Linked DNA regions of Notamacropus eugenii. The protein of the gene in region 2 interacts with the protein of the main gene of each other region in a pairwise test. Links are inferred from orthologs where the notes say so. Each region holds a gene or a part of one and is shown on either strand. Other genes may lie near its edges.

Region 1 (7,619 bases), on a different chromosome or scaffold from region 2:
TTCTGGGGGTGGATTTGAGACAGTAGGAAAGAAATGGCCATGGTGTCTCCCTCCTGCCAGTGCCTTTGTGTGGGTGGATTCCTGTCCTTGACTTTTACTTCTCCTTGTCTTAGACCCAGGCCCTGAATCCTTTACCTGCCAGGCCCAGCTCATACCCTGAGCCTCAAAGGCCATCTCCCCTCCTTTCTCTGCCTCCTCCTAGACACCATGTTGGGCTATTTTCTTGAACCCTGTCACAGGTGACCTTGTACCTTCCTTTTTTACAAAAATCTTGCTCTCTTATTCCCTTAGTAGTTAATAGCAGCAATTCACATTTATCCGGCATGCTCAAGCTTCCAAAATGCTTTATGTAAATCATCTCATTTAGGCACCATAGCCCTGTTTTATGGGTATGGGAGACCAAGGGCCTGAGAGTAACTTGCCTTTTGTCACGTAACTAGTAAGTGCATAGACTAGATTTGAACTCAGGTCTGCTGACTCCAGGTCTAGAATTCTAGAGGTAGCCCAAAGTGGCAGCTCATTTAATAAATCCGTTGTGGAATTGAACGAGATGCTGGAAGTGAAGGGAGCTTTATTTGGAAGCTCATGAACCTGGTTGAGTATTGGGGGCATCTCCCAGGCACCTTGGAATGGGAGACTAGAGTTAGAGGCAGAGCTCAAAGATGCCTAGGGTGGGTGGGTGGGGGCGGTGCCAGCGGAGCTCACTGGGCCTGGGATCTGACCTCCGGGGCTCTCTCTAGTCGCACAGACACCTGCCTTCGCCGACTCCTCTGAAGGTTCTCCTTGCCCCCCAGGACCCTGTCTGAGCAGACCCCCGCCCCAACCCCGCCTTGGGGAGGGCGGTGAGGCCCCTCGGCCCTGCCGCCACGTCCTAGAGAAAAAGACTCCTCACGGGGCGTTGTTTGCACTTGTATAGACTCTGTGGTTTATTTGGTGATTAGCAAGCAGTATCTCCGCTACTGAGTGGGAAGAAAGCTACGGAACGTAATCAAAATAGTGGTTTAATTGACAGATTTTACTTTTTCCTTGCACCCGTGCCTTCTTCTGCTCCCACCTGCCTACTTAGCTACGTGACAGAGACTACCCTGGGGGAGAGGGGCAAGACTTGCGGCCACCATTAGCCGTGAGCTTTCCCCACCTCAGATCCTTGTAGATGGTCTTTGTTCCTGGACGTCTCAGCTAGCCTGTCTTCAGGCCTGGTCTCCTCATTCTCGGGCACCACCAGCAGCCTGTGCTGGGTCTTGGCTCCTAGCTTGTGATCAGGTCTGTGTTCTGGCTTGCTGGTTGGCCTGGCGTCCAGCTGCTTATACTCAGCCCTGTATTTGCCCTCCCCTTCCCGCTTGAAGGAGGCCGAGGGCATGACTCTGGGTTTGGGGGGCTGCATCCAGGAGTGGCTGAGGATCTCGTCGATGTGCAGCCGCCGGTTGACGTCGGGCTGTAAGATGCGGTAGATGAGGTCTTTGCATTCACCCGTTAGGTTTTTGGAACGGGGGAAGTCCACGCGGTGCTCCTTCTGGATACGCAGCATCTTCTTGATGTCAGAGTCGTCGTATGGCATGGCGCCACAGACCATGATGTAGAGGATCACGCCCAGGCTCCAGATGTCATACACCTTGGGCTGGTAGGGGATGCCCTGGAGCACCTCGGGGGCTGCGTAGGCAGCCGACCCACAGAAGGTCTTGCTGAGGATGATTCTCCCACTGCCATCCCGTACACAGCGCTTGGAAAACCCAAAGTCAGACAGCTTGATGTTGAAGTCTTTGTCCAGGAGGAGGTTCTCGCACTTGAGGTCGCGGTGGACGACGTCCAGGTCATGGCAGTACTTGACGGCCGAGGAGAGCTGGCGGAACATCTTGCGAGCCACATCTTCATGCAGGGCTCCCCGGCATTTAATGAACTCCAGGAGGTCTCCTTGAACCCCAAGCTCCATGACAATGTAGATCCTCCCATCGGATGTCTCAAAGATCTCATAGGTCTTGATGATGGAGCGATGGTTGACCGTAGCTAAGATGTCCATCTCCCGGGGCAGAAATCGCTCCACAAAGTCAGTGGGTGTTTTCTTGCGGTCGATGATCTTGACCGCCACATTGAATTTCAGGCGCTCAGAGTAAGCGGATTTCACTTTAGCATAAGAGCCTTTCCCTAAATTGATCCCAACGATGTAACCCTTCTTCCTTAGGACTGTGGCATCGTCCATGGTGCCAGAAGCAACCGATGCCTCTGACGCTGTTATCTACATCCCCTCCCCACATGGACCAACAGTGTCCTCATTTACACTGCGGGAGAGTCCTCTGAGCAGGCTGGGTCTGGAGTTTGTGGGAGGTAGAACGCTCAGCATTGTCTCCCGAGTGACTTCAGCGTGTGAAGTCACAAAGCGAAGCTGCCAAGAGTGGGGGACTGTGCCGGGGGGAATGGGGCTTTCGCCCCGAGGCTTTGGGGCACCTGGAACCCTGGAAGGCTATCAGCAAGGAGCAGCCCCCTCCCCCACCCCAGGATGCTGGTAACATCTCCTCTTTTTTCTCTTAGCCCAGGTGTGCCTGGGCAGCTCGTCCATCAGAATGGATTCTTTCCTGGAGTTCTACCCATCAGGAAAGTCAGCTTGTGGTCTGGACAGAATGACAGACAGGATGCCTGACATCTGCCTTGCTGGCATGGTGGGCCTGGGCGTGTGGCCTTGTCCCACTCAAGGTGAATTAATTTGATTTCTTTGGAATGTGAAAACATCTTCCTCTGGGCTCTAAACATGCAAAGCATTAGTTTCATCCCTCCATGAAGACACACAGACCCTGACTTTGGCTGGAAAGATAGTTACTGGACTTAGCTACATGTGTTGTTACAATCTCTGCGGAAGATTGGGAACAGTTGTTTTCCCTGGCCAGATGTTAGGGGAGAAATGGAGTTTGGGGCCTGGGGTTAGGTGAAGGGGCTTCAGATGCAAGTGGAAAGGAGGGGGGGCAGGAGAGCAATGAATGTAGTGCAAGGATTTGGAGCAGGCCTGGGGACCAGGGCAACCCCTAGATGAGGCCCTCAGGTCACAGACCTCTTGTCCTGGTCTTTGGAAGAGTGTGTGTGTGTGTGTGTGTGTGTGTGTGTGTGTGTGTGTGTGTGTGTGTGTGTGTGTGTGTGTCTGTGTCTGTGTGTGTGTGTGTCTGTGTGTGTGTGTCTGTGTGTGTGTCTGTGTGTGTGTGTACATGTGTGTGTGTGCGTGTGTGTGTCTGTCTGTGTCTGTGTGTGTGTGTGTCTGTGTGTGTGTGTCTGTGTGTGTGTGTGTGTCTGTGTGTGTGTCTGTGTGTGTGTGTGTGTGTGTGTGTGTGTATACACACATTTTGGATAGTGTTGCTATCAAAGTACTGTGAAGAACTAAAGTGTTACGTTTCTTTTCTCCAGGATGGGGACCCTCTTCCTCAGCGGGACAGGTGGAGGCCATAAATCCATCCTTTCCCTAGCCTGGCCTTCTTCCTATCCTTGGTAGAGCCTGCACTTGTGAGTTGCAGCACATACTTCCCCAAGGAAACACCAGGAGGAAGTGGGAGTTAATCTGGTCCTGGGAGAATGGGATGATGGGAATAGGAGAGAGAGGTGAATACTCTCCATGAGAGTACAGCATGAGCAAAGGCATGGGGAAGGGAATACACATGGTCATGTTTGGGGATTCGGGATGGTCTGGCTGAAGTATAGGGTGTAAAAGAGGAGTTTTCTGGGCAATGGACTGTTGAATTTTTATCTTCTTATCCCCAGCACCTAGCCTGTTGTCTGGCAAACAGTAGGTACTTAATCATTGCTTGTTGACTCCTTAAGAGAAGGTGGAAGATGGGGAGTTTGGGCTTCATCTAGTCAATGAGGATGACAGGTGCGTGACCAAGGGAGGGACGGATGGAATGGAGGAGATTCCAGTTAAAGGGAGGTGAGGAAGGTGGCCCTGGATCAGGATTCTTAGAATAGCTCCCATTGCTAGAAGGCTGCAGTACATACAAAGTGGGGCTTTCCAACAAGCCTTGGAGGGAGGTAGTGCAAAGATGGCTTACGAGGACTCCAAGAATCTGTGGTCAGTTCTCACACAGGAGCTCACTGCAGTGACCCCGAGACAGGCTCTGTCCACACCCTAGAGGAGGATTGACTGAGCAGCTGGATCCAGGCCTCTGCTGACAATACTCTCCAGCCTTGGCTGGCCTGGTCTTTGAATGGAAGGGATGCCATTTAACACAGGCCCTACACTCAGAGTCTTGCTAGATTAGTTGATTCTCTCCTTGCATGGCTTTTGAGAGCTCAAGGTTACCGTTATGTGGTAGGGGACTGGAAGACCACCCTCTGCAAGCCTGCTCTGTACTGGCAGTCAGGACATGTCTAAGGACATTATTCCTGGTTATCTTTTGGTCCTTTTACTAGTGCTGATTGGCAGCTCACTTAACACTTCCACCCTTAGAGAGGGGCTCAGGGGCACTGAGATGTTAAGTGACTTGCCTGGGTCAGACAGCCAGTAGGTGCCAGAGGCAAGATTGAATGTAGATCCTTCTGACTTCAAACCCCATGCTGCTTCTTCAAGGCTGATGTCTCTCTACCTTTTATGTCCCTGTAATTATTTGTACTAATTTCTAATGGGGAAGCCATCCTGGTCAGAGAACTGGATAATAATTGAGTTGAGGAAGCTTCTGCATATCTGGGAGAAGAAGGACTGAGTGATGATGGGCAGAGAGGACTGTAGAGGTCATAATCTGGTTGGAGAGTTGGCATTTGGAGAATTGGGATGGGAACAGTAGTGTGTGCACAGGGACAGAGGTTTGGTGGTTAAGTGGGCTGATTGGAGCCCCACAGAAGGAGCTGTGCTGGGATGTCTATGGACTCTGCAGTTCTCAGCCCTTTGAGCTATGAGCTATAATTCCTACAGCCTAGGGATTAGAAGGATTGGGGCCAAGATTAAGGGTGGAAGTGGAGGGGAGCTAATGACAGTGGCTATGGAAGAGAAGTGTCTGTTATGCTAAGGATGGCCTGGTGTGAATGTCCTGTTGGGTCCAGGTCCTGGGATAAGGTGTACCTTACTGGAGTTTCATGAGTATCAGTTTTCAGGAAGGGTAGAGAGAGACAGTTGGGCTCAGCCCTCCAGGAAGATCAGCTAGAAGATAAGATACCCAAAGATCTAGGGGTTTCAGTGAACAACAAGTTCCACCTGAGTTTGTCTCCCAACAAAAGAGCTAGTGCAGTCTTTTCTTATATTAAGAGAAAAGCAGGAGGTGACTGTCCCACTGCCCTTGGCAGATTCCATCTGAAATATTGTGCTCAGCCTTGGTTAGACGCCACATTCAAGGAAAGACATGGACTCACTGGGGTATACGGCCAGGAGACCGTGCCATCTGAAGATAGCTGGAAGGAGTGAGGGTTATTTAGCCAGATAAGAAGGAGCCATAGGAAATGAGATGGTAGCCGTCATATGGAGGAGAATTTAGATTGGTTCTGTTTGGCAGTAGGGAACTGGACCAGGAGTATGGAGAACTTTAAGCTTTAAGATGTTCAGTCAGAGGCTAGATGACCAGTAGGAAATGTTGGGAGCATTCCTTTTTAAGGATGGCTTGAACTTGATGGTCCCTGAGGGCCCCTGACCTATGGAACAGTACATTTGGAATGAACCCCATACACCCCTGAATCTAGCTCCTTCCTCATTTTACAGAGGAGTAGACTGTGCCCAAGGAAGGGGAAGAGACATTGCCAAGCTTATGCATCAAGCTGGTGGCAAAATGAGGCCTCATGGTCTCTGTACTTAACATTGGGCCATACTGCCTCTCAGATGAGCCCTTTGTCAGTAGGTAGGAAGGTCATGTTCTGAGGAATGATGCAGGGTGCCGGGCTCCCTTCTGAAACAGAAGGCGGAACTACAGATTTCTTAGCACTGGGAAGGATCTTTGTGGGTGAGTTCTTGCAATATCCCAGACGAGTGGTCACCTAGCTTGTGTGAGAGGAAGCCCACTCACCAACTTGTTGAGCGGCTCACTCCACTTTGGGATAGTGCTTCCTCTTCGGGAGTTTTTCCTAATGTCCAACCTGAACTTGTCTCCACAACTGAGATTGGTTACTCTGGGTTTTCCCCTCTGGACCCCACAGAACAAGGCTAATAATGTCTTTGGCCATTGATAATCCTTTAAAAGCTTAAAAGCACAAGGTGTGGACCCTGAGATCCTGGACCATGTTTGACTGGGTTAGAGACACTTCTAGGAACCTGGTGCTCTTGGAGCTTTAGCTGTCTCTAAGGGCCTTGGGATCCCCTAGGAGTAAGAGGGTGGGTTTGGCTTTTCTCCAGCCCTGTTAGGACTTTTTGAACTCTTGGAACACAGAAATGAGAAGAGTGGATGCATTTAGGGTTAGGCTTAGGAGAGCTAGCCTCTTCTCGCTTCTCCAGGGTCTAGGATCAAAGGGAGCGTTTCATTTAAGTGCTTACTACAAAGGCAAAAGCAGCAATCCTTACCCTCCAAGATCTTAACGTTTTATTGAGGCAACCAATATATAAGCACAAATAAAGTGTGTTCAGACTGGGTCTATAAATACAGGATAATGTGGGAGGGGAGGACCGTAGTAGCTAGGGAAGAATTGAGAAAGGTGGTCTCATGAACTTTCAAGGAAAGGAAACTGCCTTGTCAGAGGTAGAGGTGAGCAGGCATTGAGACAAAGAGACTAAAAGGAGGCTTTTTAGAGGGGTCCAGGTGAGGTGATGAACAGTTAAAGTGAAAGTAATGGCTGCGTGACTGGAGAAGGGGGGACAGGGGCAGGAGAGTAGAAAATGTCCACCAGGCAGTTGGCCATGGGGCTGGCTCTGAGGAGTTGTCTAGCTTTTAGGAGAATTGGAACTGATGAGGTCAGTGTGAGACAATGTAGAGAGAAAAGAGGGCCCGGGACAGAGTGTTGGGCGACCCCTGAAGAGAATGGGTTATGGATGATAATCCAGCAAAGGAGACTGAGAAGGGGCTGTCAGATGGGTTGAGAGCCAGGAGAGAGGAGCTGTATCCAGGAGGAGCAGGCAGTCACTTGACCTTTCTTAGAGGCTCAAGGATAAAGACGGAGAAGAAGTCAGCAGATTGGACAATTGGGAGGTTATGGGTCATATTGAAGAGAGCAGTTTCAGTTGAGTGGTCAAGTTGGAAGCTAGTTTGCAAAGGGTGGAAAACTGAGTGTGTGGAGACAGCTTTTCCAAGAGGTTAGGAAAGTGAAGAAGATAGAAGGTGCCCACTTGCAGGGGTGCTGGGAGCAAGGGACAAAACCTTTTTTTAAGGGTATGTAGCAGGGAAGGCACCAGAAGACAGGAAGAGAGATCTAAGATTGGGGAAAGAGAGGGCAGGATAGTGCAGGCGACTCCTGAAAAAAACAGGAAGGGATGTGATCCGGGGCATATGCAGGGGGTTTGGCTTTGCTGAGAAGGGGTCCACTTAATCAGACACTGGAGTAGAGGGAATGCGAATGGGAGATAATGTCCAGGAGGTCTGAGATGAGGGAGGGAGTTCATGGCAGATTTCCTCAGTTTTCACAGTGAAATAGGAAGGGTCCCCAGTGGAGGAGATAAGAGAAGTCTTGGAACAGTTTCCATGGGGAGGGGGGATTGTCAGTCCCTTAGGAAGGGAATAAAATAATTGCTTTGC
Region 2 (8,203 bases):
GGCCGGCTCACTGGGAGGTGCTTCTGCCTAGCTGACTTCCCGCCCACCAGACTCGGAGGCTCTGTGGCTGGCCCAGCGCCCTCCCCGGGACCCAGGCATCCCTCACCTCCAGCAGGGCCGAGTTCTGCTTCAGGACGTTTGTCTTTATCTCAGCGTCTTCCACTGAGCGGGTCACCTTCCGACAATTCTCCTGGGACCGGACATCTAGGGCTGGGGGTGGGGGCTAGGGGAGGAAGCCCTCCCCCAGGATGCAGGGGCTCCCCTTGGACCCAGCCCCCAGCTAGCCCCCATCCCTGCTTTAACGGGAGTACCCTATCCACAGGCCTCCCCTAAACCAGCCACGCCCCCTTTCCTAACCACGCCCACTCCACGCCCTGCCTCAAGCTAAGCCCCGCTCCACCCCAGGGTTCTTGGATTCGGTTGGCCGCTCCCCCTCCCTTAGCCCCGCCTCACCAGCCCCGGGGCGCTCACTGGCACCTCTTTGACAGCCTGCTCACCTTCAGCTGGCTGCAATATCCCTCCAGCTCCTCCGCCTCCTGCCTCCTTCGTTCCAGGTTCTCGCTCAGCACCGAGCACTCACTCTATGGAGAGCAAAGGCCCAAAGCCGGGAGAAGAGTTGGGGGGCGGTGGCAGGTGTGTGGGGGCCTGGTGGCCCGCGCAGCCTCGAGACCCAGAGAGAGGCAGGGATTGTCTGGGGTCGAGGGTGTGTGTGATGGTTCCACAGGCTGGGCAGGGTGTCCAGGGCAAGGGCCCCCCAACTCCCGCCAACCCAGGATTCACATGTGGGTGTGGGGCAAGATCTAGGAAGGGGAGGGGGTGATTCCAGGCAGCGGCTAGTGGGACCTGAAGCGACTGGACGTGCTGGTTGACCCGGGTAGTCTTCTCCTTGAGGCTGGTGATGGAGTCCTTGGCCCTCAGCAAGCCGCTGTTCACCCCGTTCTGTAGGACACGGAGGAACTCAGGGTAACAGTACCCCGGATTTAGCTGCTTGTGTTCCCCAGCCCTGGAGCCAGGCAAGTGCTTTCTCATGTCTAGCAGTGGGGAAGGGGAGAGCAAGCTTTTTGGAGATTCATGGATTTGGGCTTCCCACATGGGCTCTAAGGGCTCTCTGCCATGTCACATCCTAATGCCTGAAACTGGGCCAACGGAGGGTTACTGTCAGTCTCTTCCCACTCATGCGTCTGTCTAAACAAAGGCAGGCAGTCCACTTACCAGAGGTAGGGGCCATAATGTAGTAGAGGATGGAGGGGTTGCGGCTGAGGCTCCCCACTCCCAGCTACCAAAGTGAATTTCCTAAAACAACTCACGGAGCTGTTCAATTAATTACATCTAGCATCAAGGCTGACCTCTTGTGTTGGGCATGAAGGCCCTTCAGCCTAAGAGAAACTCTCTTTATGTCTTCTTGGGCCAGCCACCTTGACTTTGCTCAGCCTGTCCCACTCCTGGGGTGCAGGCTCTCCTCCCAATGACCTCTTAGAATTCCTACTTCCCATCAAGACCAAGGTCAGTCTCTGCCTTCCAAGTCAGGCCTTTCCTGATCCTCCCAGAGTTCCTAAGGGCCAGAACTGTCTGACCTTTGACGGCTTATGGCTCAACAGATAGAGCCGACCTGGGCCTGGAGTCAGGAAGATCTGAGTTCAAATCCAGCCTCAGCTGCTTAGTAGGTGTGTGAACCTGAGCAAATCACTTAACTTCTGCCTGCCTCAGTTTCCTCAGCTGTAAAAGGGAGATAATAACAGCACCTCCCTCCCACGGTCGTCATGCAGATCAAGTGAGATGATAACTGTAAAGCCTTTAGTACTGTTTGGTATAATAGCAGGCATCAGACAATTCTTAAATCCCTTCCCTTTTATCTTCCAGTCCCCTTGGCACATAGTAGGTGTTTAATAAATGCTTGGTGACTGATTAATCGGTTGGCTCCCTGAGTTTCAAGATGGGAACTGAAATTTGGCACTTACAGCCTTGAGCCCAGAAGCCAGAACCTCGAGTTCAGATGCATTCTAACACCCAACCCAGAAGCCAAAGGCCCAATTCCTGGCTCCCATCTGTTCTCCAGTACCTCTGTGCCTCTCTCCTTCTGAGTCTCCCTCAGTTTCCACATCCAGACGGGAGGGGTAGGTAGGCTGTTAGCTTCCATTCTGTCTTTCTGACTTTGGGCCAGGGAGTGTGGAAGCCTGGGGCATCCTCCAAAGTGGATTTTAAACCCACTCGCAGATTGAATCTGAAGGCACATTCCATGCCTAGAAACCTCCTAGAACCCCACATTTCCCAGCCCTGTCCTCTCTGGCGGGAAGCCACTGACAGGAACCCAGCCCAGAAGCCTGACCTGTCTTGGAGACCCCAGATATGAGTCCTGGACCCTGAAGCCTCAGGTCTAAAAAGAGAGACAGTGTGAGCTCTCTCAGTGAAATATCACTGGTCACTCAACCCCCAGCCTGGAGCCTTGGGTCTAAATGAGAATCAGGTCTTGAAAACCTCTTCTGGGAATGTGAACCTTTGTCTGAGCAAGGACCACAGCGACTGGTAGCTAGAACTGAAGGCCGGGACTTGGGGGGCAGGGGCGGTACCGGACGCAAGCCCTCTGGGAAGGGGTCTTACCAACAGGTCAGCGATGTCAGGGTCATCAGGGGCCCAGGCTGGGGCCGAAGCTGGCAGACTCAGGGTGGGGGGTGAGGAGGTCCCAGAGGCAGGAAGAGCTGGGAGCTCATCTGGGGTGGGCTCAGTCCCGGGGTCAGGAGGCTCCACAGCTGCCAGGTTGAGGAGGGAGACATTGGTGCAGGCTGAGGAGCGCTTCAGATTCAGGCACCACTGCATTGGCTCATGGGACATCCGGGGCTCCACCCTGGAGGAGGTACTTGATCAGCACCCCTGACACCCTGGGAGCCCTGGCTTCCTCCCTTTCCCTCTCTCCCAACCTCAAAATTTGCCCTAGGACTCTGTCCCAAACAAGTCAGTTTCCCTAGCACCCTTGGGAGCCTGAGTTCCCTCTCTCCCAACCCCCTCATTCCTCCAACAAGCCCCAGGGCTTTACCCTGTAAGAGATAGTGCGGTCAACTCCCTAGAGACACCTGAGAACTCCAGTTCCCTCTTCTCCCCCCAGTCAGCAAGCCCCAGGCCCCCACTGACCCATGGAAAGACACAGCCTTCTTTTTCTTGGTGATCCCCTTTCCAGGGCCAGATCCAGCCCCAGGGACCTCAGGCCCCAGTGGGGTCCGGTTCTCAGCCCCTGCTGGGGGATCTCCGGCTTCATGGATCTCCTTGGATTGCCAGATCGTCTTAACCACCACACTCGCCATGGTGTGAGTGGTGGGGGCGGGGCCCGGCCCAGGTCCCGGGGAGGGGGGTGGGGGTCCACCGAGACCCACCACCCACTCTGACCCCTGACCCCAGCCCCCGCCAGCCTGTCTCACAAAGGGCCCAACCACCTGGAGACACCTCCTTGGGGGTGGAAGGACTCTAGAATCTATGAATCCAGCCTCTCCTCCTTTCCTAGAACTATAGTGGACTGTCCCAGGGCTTAAACTAGAACCTTCCAAGGTCAGGCCATGGAACCTAGGAGTCCTTTTCCCCCACCTCTGCAACCCAGAGTGGAAGTTCCCAAACAACATTCCCAGAACAGTTCAATGAGCCAGCTCATCGATCCACAGGACATGACATCCACCTCCATCTATAATTCATAGAGAACTTGATTCCTGAAACTCTCCAATGGAAGACCTTGATGAATTTATGGAGTGAATTCAGGGGAAGATTTCACAGAGTAAGTAGCTTTAAGAGTTGGAAAATAAGTATAAGTTCAAACTGAACACAAAATCCTAGTTTTTCCTAAGGAGGAAACCAAGGCACAGAGAGGGAAAGGGCCCAATGCCTCTCCCTAGAATTTGGAATGGACTTGTCAACTATTTTACCAAAGTTTTGGTCCAAAGAAACAAACAGAATCAGTTTCCCCTTAACCGAAGCTTTGCCCTAGAACAAACAGAATAGGGTCCCCCTTAACCAACTGTACATGTGTTATAATATGCGAATTTATTCTCATCAAGCCAGAGAGTCATGCATGATGGAGTCAGAAAATAATTCTGGACTCAGAGGACACAGCAATCCCAACTCAGGAGACCTGTGTCGGTCAAAATTGTAGCCTCCACATGTGTTAACCATAATGTGAGACAGGAATTTCTTAATTGGATAGATTGCATATACCATAAGAGAATGACAAGGTATCAATTGAAATTATAGATTCGGGAGGTCTGTGTTTCTTTTACCGTTAACATGGCATACTATAACATAAGAAAAGTGCCATTATTTAAGATAGTGTCTGGTTCAAGGTGCCTTGTCCTTGGCAGTCATAAACAGAAGAATGCACCTGGTCAGCTTCATCTGGCCTTGTAGATGCTGACACAAGAAGGGGCATTTTGGGTTCATTCAGAGAATGTTATGCCAGAGCACAGTCAGGCTCAGAGTGGGCTAAAAATGTCTTTCTCCTGATTGGCCAATCAAATGATGGGGGCAAAATGGTTTACAGACTTTTTCAGGCCTTGTTCCTAGAACCCTCATAGGGGCAAATCCACTGATTCCATTGGTGGGGAGGAGGATCTTAATATAAACCTTTCCTCGTACACAGAGGAGAAGCTAAAATCTCTCCCTACAATTCAGAATGGGCCTTCCCAGTCTTCCATCCTAGAACATAATCATGGATTGATTTGTTAATCCCCTACTGGGGAAACTGAGTGAATATTTGCCATCCCACCCAACAATGGACCAGTCCATGGACTTTATGGGGGAGGGGGAGAGAAGAAACCATAGAATTAAATTCAGTAAAATAAAAATTCAATAAAAATCATTTAAATGTTTACTGAATTCATGATCCAGTGCTTGGTACAGTGCCTCCAATCAATCAAGGACATATAACCTGTGTGCAGATAAATGTCATTTGGGGTTGAAATTACTGTTATTTTAGTTCTGATACTGTAACTAGGCAAGGGTACTTTCTGTTTGAATTGGACAATCAGTTCTGAGGGTGAACAGGACCTGTATACCTCATTGACTTAAAGCCATTGTGAGAGATCTCAGAACTGGATTCCGAAGAGATTTTGAAGGTCTGGATTTGAGAGACTGGAGCCAGCATGGCATTCTAGCACACTCTTGAGGGAAAAAAGGAGGGCTTAGCTATGGTAGGTATAGATCCAGGATATGCTGATGAGAGTCATTGGCTCTACAGATATCTTGGAACGATGGACCTAGGCTGAAGAGGTTGGCTCTTTTCCTCAACCTTCTGCTCCCAACACCTGTCTATCCACAGACAACATTATATAATCTGTTCTTGCATTACTCAAGTGTTTCCCACCAACTGAATTTTGCCTCACCCACAAAGAGGCTAGCGTGTAACTAGAGACAGAGGCAGAGACCTGTCCCTCTGCCTAGGTGTCAGGAAGTTTCTTAACTCTAGGCTTATAGTGACTATGACTGAACTCAGAACTTTTCATCCAAAGTAAATTCCTTAAAGCCCAAGAAGAGTGAACCAAGTAGATCTTAAGGGACCCTTAGACTTACTATATTAACACCCTCTACTCCAAATGAATTAATTATAATAACTTGTTATGGAAATAAATACAAGTTAGGTAGTGAAAGGGGCAAAGGAGAGATAGGAGGGAGAAAACTTTCACTTGGGTGGATCAGGAAAGGTTTCATGTTAGTACCTGAATGAAGCCAAGGAGACAAGGAATTCTAAAGGTGAGGATGAAAAGTGAGTCTGTCCCAGGCGTGGGGGAGAACTAGAAAGAGATGGACACAGGAGATGGATTGTAAAGGAGGCCAGTTTCAATGGAACGTAGTGGGGCTCTTGAGGGCACTATGTTACCATATTAATTATCCATTGAGGGAATACAGTATCTGTTTGAGCCATCAGCCCAGTGGTATTGTCAGGCCAGGATGGCCTCAAGCTGAAAAGGCTCAAGTTTCCCTTCTTGCAGACCTAAGAACACACAGACTTCAAATTTCGAGACTTCTTCCCCAGCTCCAAGCCTATGTACCATAGGCTAAGTGGTTTGGGTTAGCACTTATTGGCTGGGTTTGAAATTAATTTAGGAGACGAAATAGAATATCATTCAAAATGTAAAATTTTCTATCTATGCATGTGTAGCTCTTGAATCATTCATTACCCCATCGGATCTCTCCTGAATTCACCTATTCAGAAACTTGGCATGCAGTGATCACATAGTTTAGTATGTTGGTGGTGATGGTGGTCAGTTGTTTCTGTCGTGTCTAACTCTTTGTGATCCCATTTGGGGTTTTCTTGGCAAAGATTCTGGAGTGGTTTGCCATTTCCTTCTCCTCCTCATTTTACAGATTAGGAAACCGAGGCAAACAGGATTAAGTGACTTGCCCAGGGTCACACAGCTAGTAAGTGTCTGAGGCCACATTTGAATTCAGGAAGACGAGTCTTCCTGGTTTCAGGCCTGGCACGTTATCCACTGCACCACTTAGCTACCCATAGTTTATTATACATTATTAAGCATCTATCATGTGCCAGTCACTGTGCTAAGTGCTGGAAGGTGTATAGACAGACTGCCTTGGTAGTTAAGCATCCATCCCCAGCAATCTTTTAAACCTGCTTCCAGTTGCCTTTTAGGATCCTTGAATGTGGCAAGAAGGAGATGTCCAGCAATGTGCTGGAAAAGTTTATGGAAAGGTTTCAAGGGTAGAAGCATCAGCACCCTTTCTCAAAATCATTGACCAGAAACTAAGGAGATTGGAGAGCACCATGAGGGGAACCAGTCATTCCCTTTCCTGCCCGGTTCCTGACTGCCCCCTCTACTACTGAAGTGGACATTATTTCTCCTCCCCCCGCCAGAGCCCCTGGGTTGAGAAATGTCCGTTGAGTTTCTAGGCAGGGTTGGGCCTAGTAGCCACTTTCTGTTAGTGGCTACACTCTCTGTTGTACCCCTTTGCCTAGCAGCTGCCTGGGCCCCCGCTCTCTTTTGTACCCCTTTGCCTTGCAGCTGCCTGGGCCCCCCTCTCTGTTGTACCCCTTTGCCTTGCAGCTGCCTGGGCCCCCCTCTCTGTTGTGCCCCCTTGCCTACCAATACCCAGGAGCCCCTGTCAAAACTGTTCTGTGAAAAATGTGTGCTATTGGAACCGCAAGGCTATACCGGGAAGTGCTAAGATGCTTAAAAGGCACACACACCTTTGTTCGGGGCTGCCTCTTCGGAGGACAGACACCAGCTGATAAAGACGCTCCCAAATTCTCAATTAACTCTTGCCTGTGCCTGTCTCAGTCTGTCCGTTTCACTACTGGCTCATTTTAGAGCCTGGAATAATCTGCCACCCCCATGACCCTCACTATGGACTGCTCTTCTGCAAAGTCCCAGCCAAACTGTTCAGTGGGAAAGACTTCCTGGACTTTCGACGTCTCAGTTCCCTTTGCCGTGTTGTCTTCCTCTATGAAGTCAGGGACTCCTTTTCACTTGTATTTGTACCCTCACTGCTTAATCTGGTGCATGCTTCATAAATGCTTCTTTCCATCCATTCTCCCTTTCCTTCATCCTTAGGAAGCCCAGTGGGATTTACAACAGGTGGAAGCCTTAGCAGCTTTCAACATTTTGTCTGAGAGCTGGTGTTTTAAAGTGGATGACAAGCTCAGGGCTGGTCACTGGTGTGATATGTGGATGTGCAGTGGATGACCATGGTGTCTTTGATGCCTGAGGAAGCTCATCCAACCAAGTTCAATGAGACATGTCTCTGGGCAGGAGAGTCTTGGCCTGGGAGACTGATTGACAGTCACATATACATTATAAAGGCAGGATCTGAGGTAAAAAGTACTGAGGTAAAGAGTCTTCTGGCCTAGACTGGGCTACATGAGGGCTTTTGTTTAGCCCTTCCCTTTCTTTTCTTTTCATTTGCATATGGGACCAAAAGATTTTAGAAGACTGAAGAAAAAAACCTTGGAGTCTGGGACCACAGAGCTGTTGTAGAATTTCATTATCCACAAAAAAAGTGGTCGTCACAATTTCACTATAAGTGCTTAAGCGAGAATTACAAGAAATCTCTAGTTGAAGAGTTCTTTGGAAGGATAAATATGATATTCCCCAATTGATAAATGGTCAAAGGATATGAACAGGCAATTTTCAGAAGAAGAAATTAAAGATATCTATAATCATATGAAAAAATGCTCTAAATCACTTCTGATTAGAGAGATGCAAATCAAAACAAC

The links.
Region 1: the proteins of TSKS (region 2) and TSSK2 interact in binary tests that used the Homo sapiens proteins (3 or more experiments, as listed by UniProt). The link is inferred for Notamacropus eugenii from reciprocal best matches to the Homo sapiens genes TSKS and TSSK2.

Annotation. Positions count from the first base shown.
Region 1 is NC_092875.1:12,363,593-12,371,211, forward strand, and holds TSSK2 (testis-specific serine/threonine-protein kinase 2), read right to left. Parts: upstream 2,515-7,619; 5' UTR 2,198-2,514; coding exon 1,118-2,197; 3' UTR 986-1,117; downstream 1-985.
Region 2 is NC_092876.1:12,140,961-12,149,163, reverse strand, and holds the start of TSKS (testis-specific serine kinase substrate), read right to left. Parts: upstream 3,370-8,203; 5' UTR 3,297-3,369; coding exon 3,127-3,296; intron 2,843-3,126; coding exon 2,599-2,842; intron 940-2,598; coding exon 844-939; intron 582-843; coding exon 498-581; intron 191-497; coding exon 107-190; intron 1-106. UniProt on the Homo sapiens protein: May play a role in testicular physiology, most probably in the process of spermatogenesis or spermatid development.